2 linked regions of the Saccharomyces cerevisiae S288C genome follow. The protein of the gene in region 1 binds, or shares a complex with, the protein of each later gene. Each region holds a gene or a part of one and is shown in the gene's direction. Other genes may lie near its edges.

Evidence for each region. The genes of interacting proteins can lie anywhere in the genome.
Region 2: the proteins of GCD10 (region 1) and GCD14 are in contact, whole or in part, in a crystal structure (PDB 5ERG), measured with the Saccharomyces cerevisiae proteins. Residues at the interface, in NP_014337.3 of Saccharomyces cerevisiae: Met1 (codon at 2,156), Leu4 (codon at 2,165), Thr5 (codon at 2,168), Phe9 (codon at 2,180), Arg16 (codon at 2,201), Asn44 (codon at 2,285), Asp45 (codon at 2,288), Ile46 (codon at 2,291), Ile47 (codon at 2,294), Gly48 (codon at 2,297), Tyr49 (codon at 2,300), Pro50 (codon at 2,303), Phe51 (codon at 2,306), Gly52 (codon at 2,309), Leu53 (codon at 2,312), Leu85 (codon at 2,408), Glu194 (codon at 2,735), Tyr195 (codon at 2,738), Ser197 (codon at 2,744), Ser198 (codon at 2,747), Ser199 (codon at 2,750), Gln219 (codon at 2,810), Glu220 (codon at 2,813), Gly223 (codon at 2,822), Met224 (codon at 2,825), Leu226 (codon at 2,831), Asn227 (codon at 2,834), Leu228 (codon at 2,837), Asn230 (codon at 2,843), Ile231 (codon at 2,846); in NP_012410.1 of Saccharomyces cerevisiae: Phe6 (codon at 1,800), Ser7 (codon at 1,803), Gly8 (codon at 1,806), Tyr9 (codon at 1,809), Lys10 (codon at 1,812), Asp11 (codon at 1,815), Trp22 (codon at 1,848), Arg25 (codon at 1,857), Pro55 (codon at 1,947), Tyr56 (codon at 1,950), Gly57 (codon at 1,953), Ser58 (codon at 1,956), Gln59 (codon at 1,959), Ala61 (codon at 1,965), His74 (codon at 2,004), Leu76 (codon at 2,010), Gln77 (codon at 2,013), Thr79 (codon at 2,019), Pro80 (codon at 2,022), Glu81 (codon at 2,025), Leu82 (codon at 2,028), Leu85 (codon at 2,037), Thr96 (codon at 2,070), Pro97 (codon at 2,073), Ser100 (codon at 2,082), Tyr101 (codon at 2,085), Met103 (codon at 2,091), Gln104 (codon at 2,094), Arg105 (codon at 2,097), Asn107 (codon at 2,103).

What each region holds. Positions count from the first base shown.
Region 1 is NC_001146.8:508,613-512,367, reverse strand, and holds GCD10 (tRNA 1-methyladenosine methyltransferase subunit GCD10), read left to right. Parts: upstream 1-2,155; coding exon 2,156-3,592; downstream 3,593-3,755. Other genes in the region: rRNA (cytosine-C5-)-methyltransferase NOP2, read right to left, coding at 1-1,828; MTQ1 (S-adenosylmethionine-dependent methyltransferase), read right to left, coding at 3,666-3,755. UniProt on the Saccharomyces cerevisiae protein: Substrate-binding subunit of tRNA (adenine-N(1)-)-methyltransferase, which catalyzes the formation of N(1)-methyladenine at position 58 (m1A58) in initiator methionyl-tRNA.
Region 2 is NC_001142.9:184,909-188,463, reverse strand, and holds GCD14 (tRNA 1-methyladenosine methyltransferase subunit GCD14), read left to right. Parts: upstream 1-1,784; coding exon 1,785-2,936; downstream 2,937-3,555. Other genes in the region: DUF5427 domain-containing protein MTC1, read left to right, coding at 1-460; LSM1 (Lsm1p), read left to right, coding at 820-1,338; NIT2 (putative hydrolase), read right to left, coding at 3,040-3,555. UniProt on the Saccharomyces cerevisiae protein: Catalytic subunit of tRNA (adenine-N(1)-)-methyltransferase, which catalyzes the formation of N(1)-methyladenine at position 58 (m1A58) in initiator methionyl-tRNA.

The sequences.
Region 1 (3,755 bases):
TTGGATTGACACCCTTTTTCAAAAGATTGTTTTTCACAGACTTTTCAATGTACTTATCGTCTTCTTCGTCCTCGAAGGTTGCGAAGTCAGAGTGAATGATACCTTCTTCCAAAGCTTCCTTTCTAGCAGCAGTTTCCTTTTCTTTTGCACTTGCTTGGTTATCATCAAACGAAGATGGACCGATCTTTTGGAATTTAGCGACAAAGAACCCATCGACGTTGTACGTATGTGGATAGTACCTCCTCGCTAATTTCACACTAGGATGAAACTTTTTGCCTCTGTAACTAGTAAACGCTTCTTTACCGATCGCTAAACCAGTATCGACTAACTTGACATTCGGTCTTTTTCTCAATGCATAGTCTATGACAGCTTCGTCCTCTTCCACTGCAACAGAACATGTCGAATATACTATTACACCACCATGTTTCGAGTTGCAATCAACAGAATCAATGGCGGATAGAAGCAATTGTTTTTGTAGATGTGGAATTTGAATGAAGTCCTTCTCGGTACGAGACACCTTGACAGATTGATCCTTACCGATAACACCAGTACCGGAACATGGGGCATCCAGTAAAATTCTGTCAAAACCTCCAATTACCTTAGGGAACTCACGGGCATCGTAATTGCATACAATAGTGTTGGTACAGCCTAGACGGTGGATATTAGCAATTAAAGATTTTGTTCTAGATTTATTGGCGTCGTTAGCGAAAACACAACCTGTGTTTTTCATCATAGCTGATATATAAGTGGTCTTACCACCTGGAGCAGCTGCCATATCCAAGATACGCTCATTTTCATGAGGATCTAGAGCAATAACTGGTAGAAAAGATGATGCCGCTTGTAAAATATAGTGACCTGCCAAATATTCTGGCGTAGCACCAATTGGGACTTGGGAATCGAATATTTGAAGACCAACTTTAGTCCAAGAACCAATAGGTTGTAGATTAACACCTCTATTCACAAGAGTTTGAGCTAAGTCTCTCCTTCTGGTCTTCAAGGTGTTGGTTCTGATGGTTATTGGTCTTGCAATTTCATTGGCTTCGAAAAACTCCATCGCCTCTGCTGGTGAGAATAGATTGAATAACTTTTCCGCCAAAAATGGTGTATAACCAAAGTACTCACAAATATCTTTCAAAAGTCTGTCAACGTATTCTCCTCTCGATCTGCCTTCTGCACCAAGAGTCTTAAAATTTTCCAAAACCTTTACAATTTCAATCATTCTTGTTCTTGTGGAAGTTAAATTAGGAGTTTCTTGTGCCATCATTTCTTCCTGCTCCTCAGTGGGCAATATGTCTGCTCTTGGTTGCATGTTCTCCGCTTCCACTAACTCCATTTCGGCTTCTTCAGCTTCTTCAGCTTCTTCTTCATCAAGTTTCTTAGAAAGAGCTTCCATGTTTTGTGCATTTAGTTCTTCAAGATCAGCCTCATCGTCGTCATCTGAAAAAATTGGGTGGGCGTCATTATCTTCATCTTCATCGTAATCATATTCTTGTTCCAAGTCAAATTCATCTTTTAGTTCTTCATCCACCAATCCTGCTTCATCGTCATCTTCTTCATCATCAAATAAAGATTTCCTGGCTTTTGATAATTCTTCAAGATCAACTTCTGGCAAATCCTTATCCTCTTCAACAACTTCTTCCTCCTCTTTTCTAGATTTCTTGAATGGCTTCGACTTCTTTTTCTTTCTATCAGAAACTTCATCCCCTTGCGTGGTAGAAGGTCTCTTTCCTTTTTCTAGCTTTCTATTAGCCTTCTTTTCCTTTCTTGCCTGAAACTCCTCCAGGGTTGGTGGGGCGGCTTGCTTGTTCTTATGACGTCTACTACCCATTTCCTATTATATGTATATGTAATTCTAATATTAGCCAACACAAGGGGAATTCCGCCAGAATTACAAATCTATATACCTTAGCGACAACTGTATTTGCAGCTCAGCTCATCTTAAACTTATTCTGCGATGAGATGAAAATTTTTTTCAGAAAACGTGAAACTGGGTAACGGTTTTGTAAAATCTGAAAAATTTCATCAAAAAAAAAAAAAAAGTCGATGAGGTGTATAATAACAATAATAATATTCAACTTTAAATTCTTTGGCACGTTGGATCCTACTCACATTGTTGCAAACGAATTGGACAAAAAAACTTTGAATTTAGTGCACAATGAATGCTTTGACAACCATAGATTTTAATCAGCACGTTATCGTCCGGCTGCCATCAAAAAATTACAAGATAGTGGAACTAAAGCCCAACACCTCTGTATCATTAGGAAAATTCGGTGCTTTCGAGGTTAATGACATAATTGGTTATCCTTTCGGGTTGACTTTCGAGATATATTATGATGGCGAAGAGGTTTCATCCGATGAAAATAGAGATTCGAAACCAAAGAACAAAATTCCCATCGGGAAAGTAAGGCTATTATCGCAGGAGATCAAAGATGTCAATAATGATAAAGACGATGGTCAAAGCGAGCCTCCTTTATCTATTAAGGAAAAATCTGTGTCTCTTGAATTGTCTAGCATTGACAGCAGTGCTACGAATCAGAATCTGGTTAACATGGGCAGCAAGGCCCAAGAGTTAACCGTTGAAGAAATTGAAAAAATGAAACAAGAATCTTTATCTAGTAAAGAAATAATCGACAAAATTATCAAATCTCACAAAAGTTTTCACAACAAGACCGTATATTCTCAAGAGAAATATGTGAATAGGAAGAAACAAAAATTCGCCAAGTACTTCACCGTTGAGTATTTAAGTAGCTCTAACCTTTTACAATTCTTAATCGACAAAGGCGATATCCAAAGGGTATTGGATATGTCTCAGGAATCGATGGGGATGCTGTTAAATCTTGCGAACATCCAATCAGAAGGCAACTATCTCTGTATGGATGAAACGGGTGGGTTATTGGTTTACTTTCTGTTGGAAAGAATGTTTGGCGGTGACAATGAAAGCAAATCCAAGGGCAAAGTCATAGTTATTCACGAAAATGAACATGCCAACTTGGATTTGCTGAAGTTTGCTAATTATTCTGAGAAATTTATTAAAGAGCATGTACACACCATTTCTCTATTAGATTTTTTTGAACCGCCTACACTACAAGAGATTCAGAGCAGATTTACACCATTACCTAAAGAAGAAGCCCGTGCATTAAAAGGTGGTAAGAAAAACTCGTACTACCGAAAACTCAGATGGTACAATACACAATGGCAAATTTTAGAACTAACAGGAGAATTCCTATATGACGGTCTTGTAATGGCTACTACACTACATTTACCAACACTAGTGCCAAAGTTGGCCGAAAAAATCCATGGTTCAAGGCCGATTGTATGCTATGGTCAATTCAAAGAAACTTTGTTGGAATTAGCTCATACTTTATATTCAGACCTCAGGTTTTTAGCACCATCAATTTTGGAAACTAGATGTAGGCCGTACCAAAGTATAAGGGGTAAGCTACACCCTCTGATGACCATGAAAGGTGGTGGTGGATATCTAATGTGGTGTCACAGAGTCATCCCTGCTCCTGAACCTGTATCGGAAAACGCGACTGCAGCTGACTCCAGTGAAAAGCTTGCTGAACATGGAGCTAAGAAACAAAAAATATAAATGTCCACAGAGTGTTCCGTTTGATAACTTCCAACAAAAAAACCTGAGAATATATATATTTACATTTATATACTTAGTTGCAATTAGCTTTGTGCCCACTGAGTGCGGTTGCTAAATGTCTTATAGTCCCAAAGGATGCAAAAATCTGGTGTAGTATTCGCCC
Region 2 (3,555 bases), on another chromosome or scaffold:
GGCTGATGCCACTCCAGATGACGATAGGAGTTCTATTAGCAGTAACAGCAATAAAATCAGTGATTTATTCATATCCATCTTACCAATTGCCATTCCGCAAAAACAAAAAGATGCCGACGGTGACTTTCAAGTGACCGACTCCAATACGCCAGGCAATTTCAATTTCACCCTTGTATTGAAAGACATAACTAACGATATTACCACCATAACAAGATCACAAGGATTCCCTGTCAAATGGGTCAATTGGCTAGAAGGATCCGTGGAGAAAACAGGATCAACAGCAAGTGAGGAGAGGAATAAGTCATACGATCAAAAGAAACAAAAAGAAAGTGAAGACGAAGACGAAGACGATGAGATCATTGATCCTAGTGAATGGGTAAAGGAATGGATCGAAGATGGATTAAGCTTGTCATTTGGGGTCATGGCACAGAATTATGTCATTGACCGTATGGGTCTTTGATACACTTAATACATAACATTTATAGCGTAACGATGATGTATAAAGTTACAAGCGCAGAGGAGTGGGTTCAAATTCGGCCGACTTGTTACCCGCGTTCGTTGAATAATGGAAAATATGAAAAAAATAGAGGAAGTCGTGAATATACAACGGTGTTCAGCACCTGTATTTCAATCTAGGGGAAGCCTGTATGACCAAGGGCTGATTAAATATTAGTGAAGATACAAGTAACACAGTTTAGTTATATTTTCTTTTCCTTTTCAACAGGATTGCCAACGCTGCAGTAGAGTTATACCAACATTTGCTCCGCTTTCAAAACCTATAAAAGAAAGCAGCCCTCGAATCGAATTAATTCACCAAAAATGTCTGCAAATAGCAAGGACAGAAATCAGTCCAATCAGGATGCGAAGCGACAACAGCAGAATTTCCCAAAGAAGATTTCAGAAGGTGAGGCCGATTTATATCTCGACCAGTATAACTTCACTACCACCGCTGCTATTGTAAGCTCAGTAGACCGTAAAATCTTCGTTCTTTTGCGTGATGGAAGAATGCTATTCGGTGTACTAAGAACCTTTGACCAATATGCAAATTTGATACTTCAAGATTGCGTGGAGAGAATATATTTTAGCGAAGAAAACAAATACGCTGAAGAAGACCGCGGCATATTCATGATTCGTGGTGAAAATGTTGTCATGTTAGGCGAAGTAGACATCGATAAAGAAGATCAACCCCTTGAGGCCATGGAACGCATACCATTTAAGGAGGCTTGGCTGACCAAGCAAAAAAATGATGAGAAAAGGTTTAAAGAGGAAACCCACAAAGGTAAAAAAATGGCCCGCCATGGTATCGTTTACGATTTCCATAAATCTGACATGTACTAAGAAAGAAAAACACAATACTACCAACATATATCCTGGAGTAAACTCTCAAAAATTTCCACATTCAGTTTTACCTATCCGTACACTTAATCAACTGCCTTTGGAGATGGAACAATAAAAAAAATGCAAGAGAGGAGGCCGTATTTGTATATAAATTAATATATTTAAATGTAAAATATATACAGTACTTGAGTTTTTTTATGAAGTAACGTATTTGCGCAGCATTCTTTTTCCTCTTACACTTCGTTATAACATTAACACTCATGCTATTGATACTTTTTCTTTATTATTATCTATAAAATTTTTTCGCTTTTTGTTTATGCCATGCCGTTAGCAACGAATTTTTTTCCATGCTCATCACTTTTAAAACTGTTTAAAGTATATAGAAAATATATGTGAATAAGATCGGGGTGGGACTATCAGGTAGCTAAGATTACGCAGATTTAGAAATGTCAACAAATTGTTTTTCCGGTTACAAAGACCTCATCAAGGAAGGCGATTTAACTCTAATATGGGTTTCTAGAGATAACATCAAACCGGTAAGGATGCATTCCGAAGAGGTATTCAATACTCGTTATGGTTCATTTCCTCATAAGGATATCATAGGTAAACCTTATGGTTCTCAAATTGCTATAAGAACAAAGGGCTCAAATAAGTTTGCATTCGTCCATGTTCTGCAACCAACTCCTGAATTGTGGACTTTGTCGTTACCACACAGAACTCAAATTGTATATACGCCCGACTCTTCCTACATCATGCAAAGGTTGAATTGTAGCCCTCACAGCAGAGTGATCGAGGCAGGTACAGGCTCAGGATCATTTTCGCACGCTTTTGCAAGATCTGTAGGTCATCTTTTTAGTTTTGAATTTCATCACATAAGATACGAACAAGCATTAGAGGAATTCAAAGAGCATGGACTTATTGATGATAACGTTACGATTACACATCGGGATGTTTGCCAAGGTGGATTTCTTATAAAGAAGGGAGACACTACATCTTACGAATTTGGCAATAATGAAACCGCCGCTTCATTGAATGCAAATGTAGTGTTTTTAGATCTGCCGGCTCCCTGGGATGCTATACCTCATCTGGATTCTGTTATTTCCGTAGACGAAAAGGTCGGATTGTGTTGCTTCTCCCCATGCATTGAGCAAGTAGACAAAACATTGGATGTATTAGAGAAATATGGCTGGACGGATGTTGAAATGGTGGAAATTCAAGGTAGACAGTACGAAAGTCGAAGACAAATGGTCAGATCACTCAATGATGCCCTGGAAAGGTTGAGAGATATTAAGAGGCACAAACTCCAGGGTGTAGAAAGACGCAAGCGGATGTTTAACAATACAATAGATTCTAACGATGAAAAAGTTGGAAAAAGAAACGAGGATGGCGTACCATTAACAGAAAAGGCCAAATTTAATCCTTTTGGCAAAGGTTCTCGAATCAAGGAAGGTGATAGTAATTATAAATGGAAGGAGGTCACAAAGATGGAAGCTGAGATCAAATCCCATACCTCATATTTGACTTTTGCATTTAAAGTTGTGAATAGATCAAGAGATGATGAAAAAGTTAACGAAATTCTTCGATCCACGGAAAAATAATTAAATGATTAACTACTTATATACTTAAATTATATGTTTTTGAAATTTTTAATATGTAAAGCAAATCTGTACGAATAAAGGCTTTTTTCATATTTTATTTGCCTCAATGAAATAAATCGTCTCTTCTCTGGTTCCATAAGGGCATTTTGTTCCTTATTTCTTGCAAAAGCTCACGATCCAAATCAGCGAGAATTAGTTGTGGTCCAACAGTAGAGGGATCGGCATGCGCTATTATTTTACCCCAAGGATCAATGACCATTGAGTGTCCCCAAGATTCTCTCCTGGAGCTTTTTTCGAGAGCGCTCATATGTGATTGTTTCTCCCACTCTGGATCACTGAGATCGTGCATTCCAACCTGCCCTGGCATGAGCACATAGCATTGAGTGTCAACCGCTCTTGCTCTGCCTAGTAACTCCCAATGTGCTTCCCCTGTTTTAATAGTGAACGCACTGGGAAAACATAAGATTTCAGCCCCCATTGATCGTAATTTCAAAGAAAATTCGGGAAAGCGAATATCATAACAAATGGCACTGCCCAATTTTCCCAATGGAGACTCTATAATGTCAGGAATGGCTTTGCCAGGCTGGACAGATTTTGATTCTTTCAATATCGGTCCATT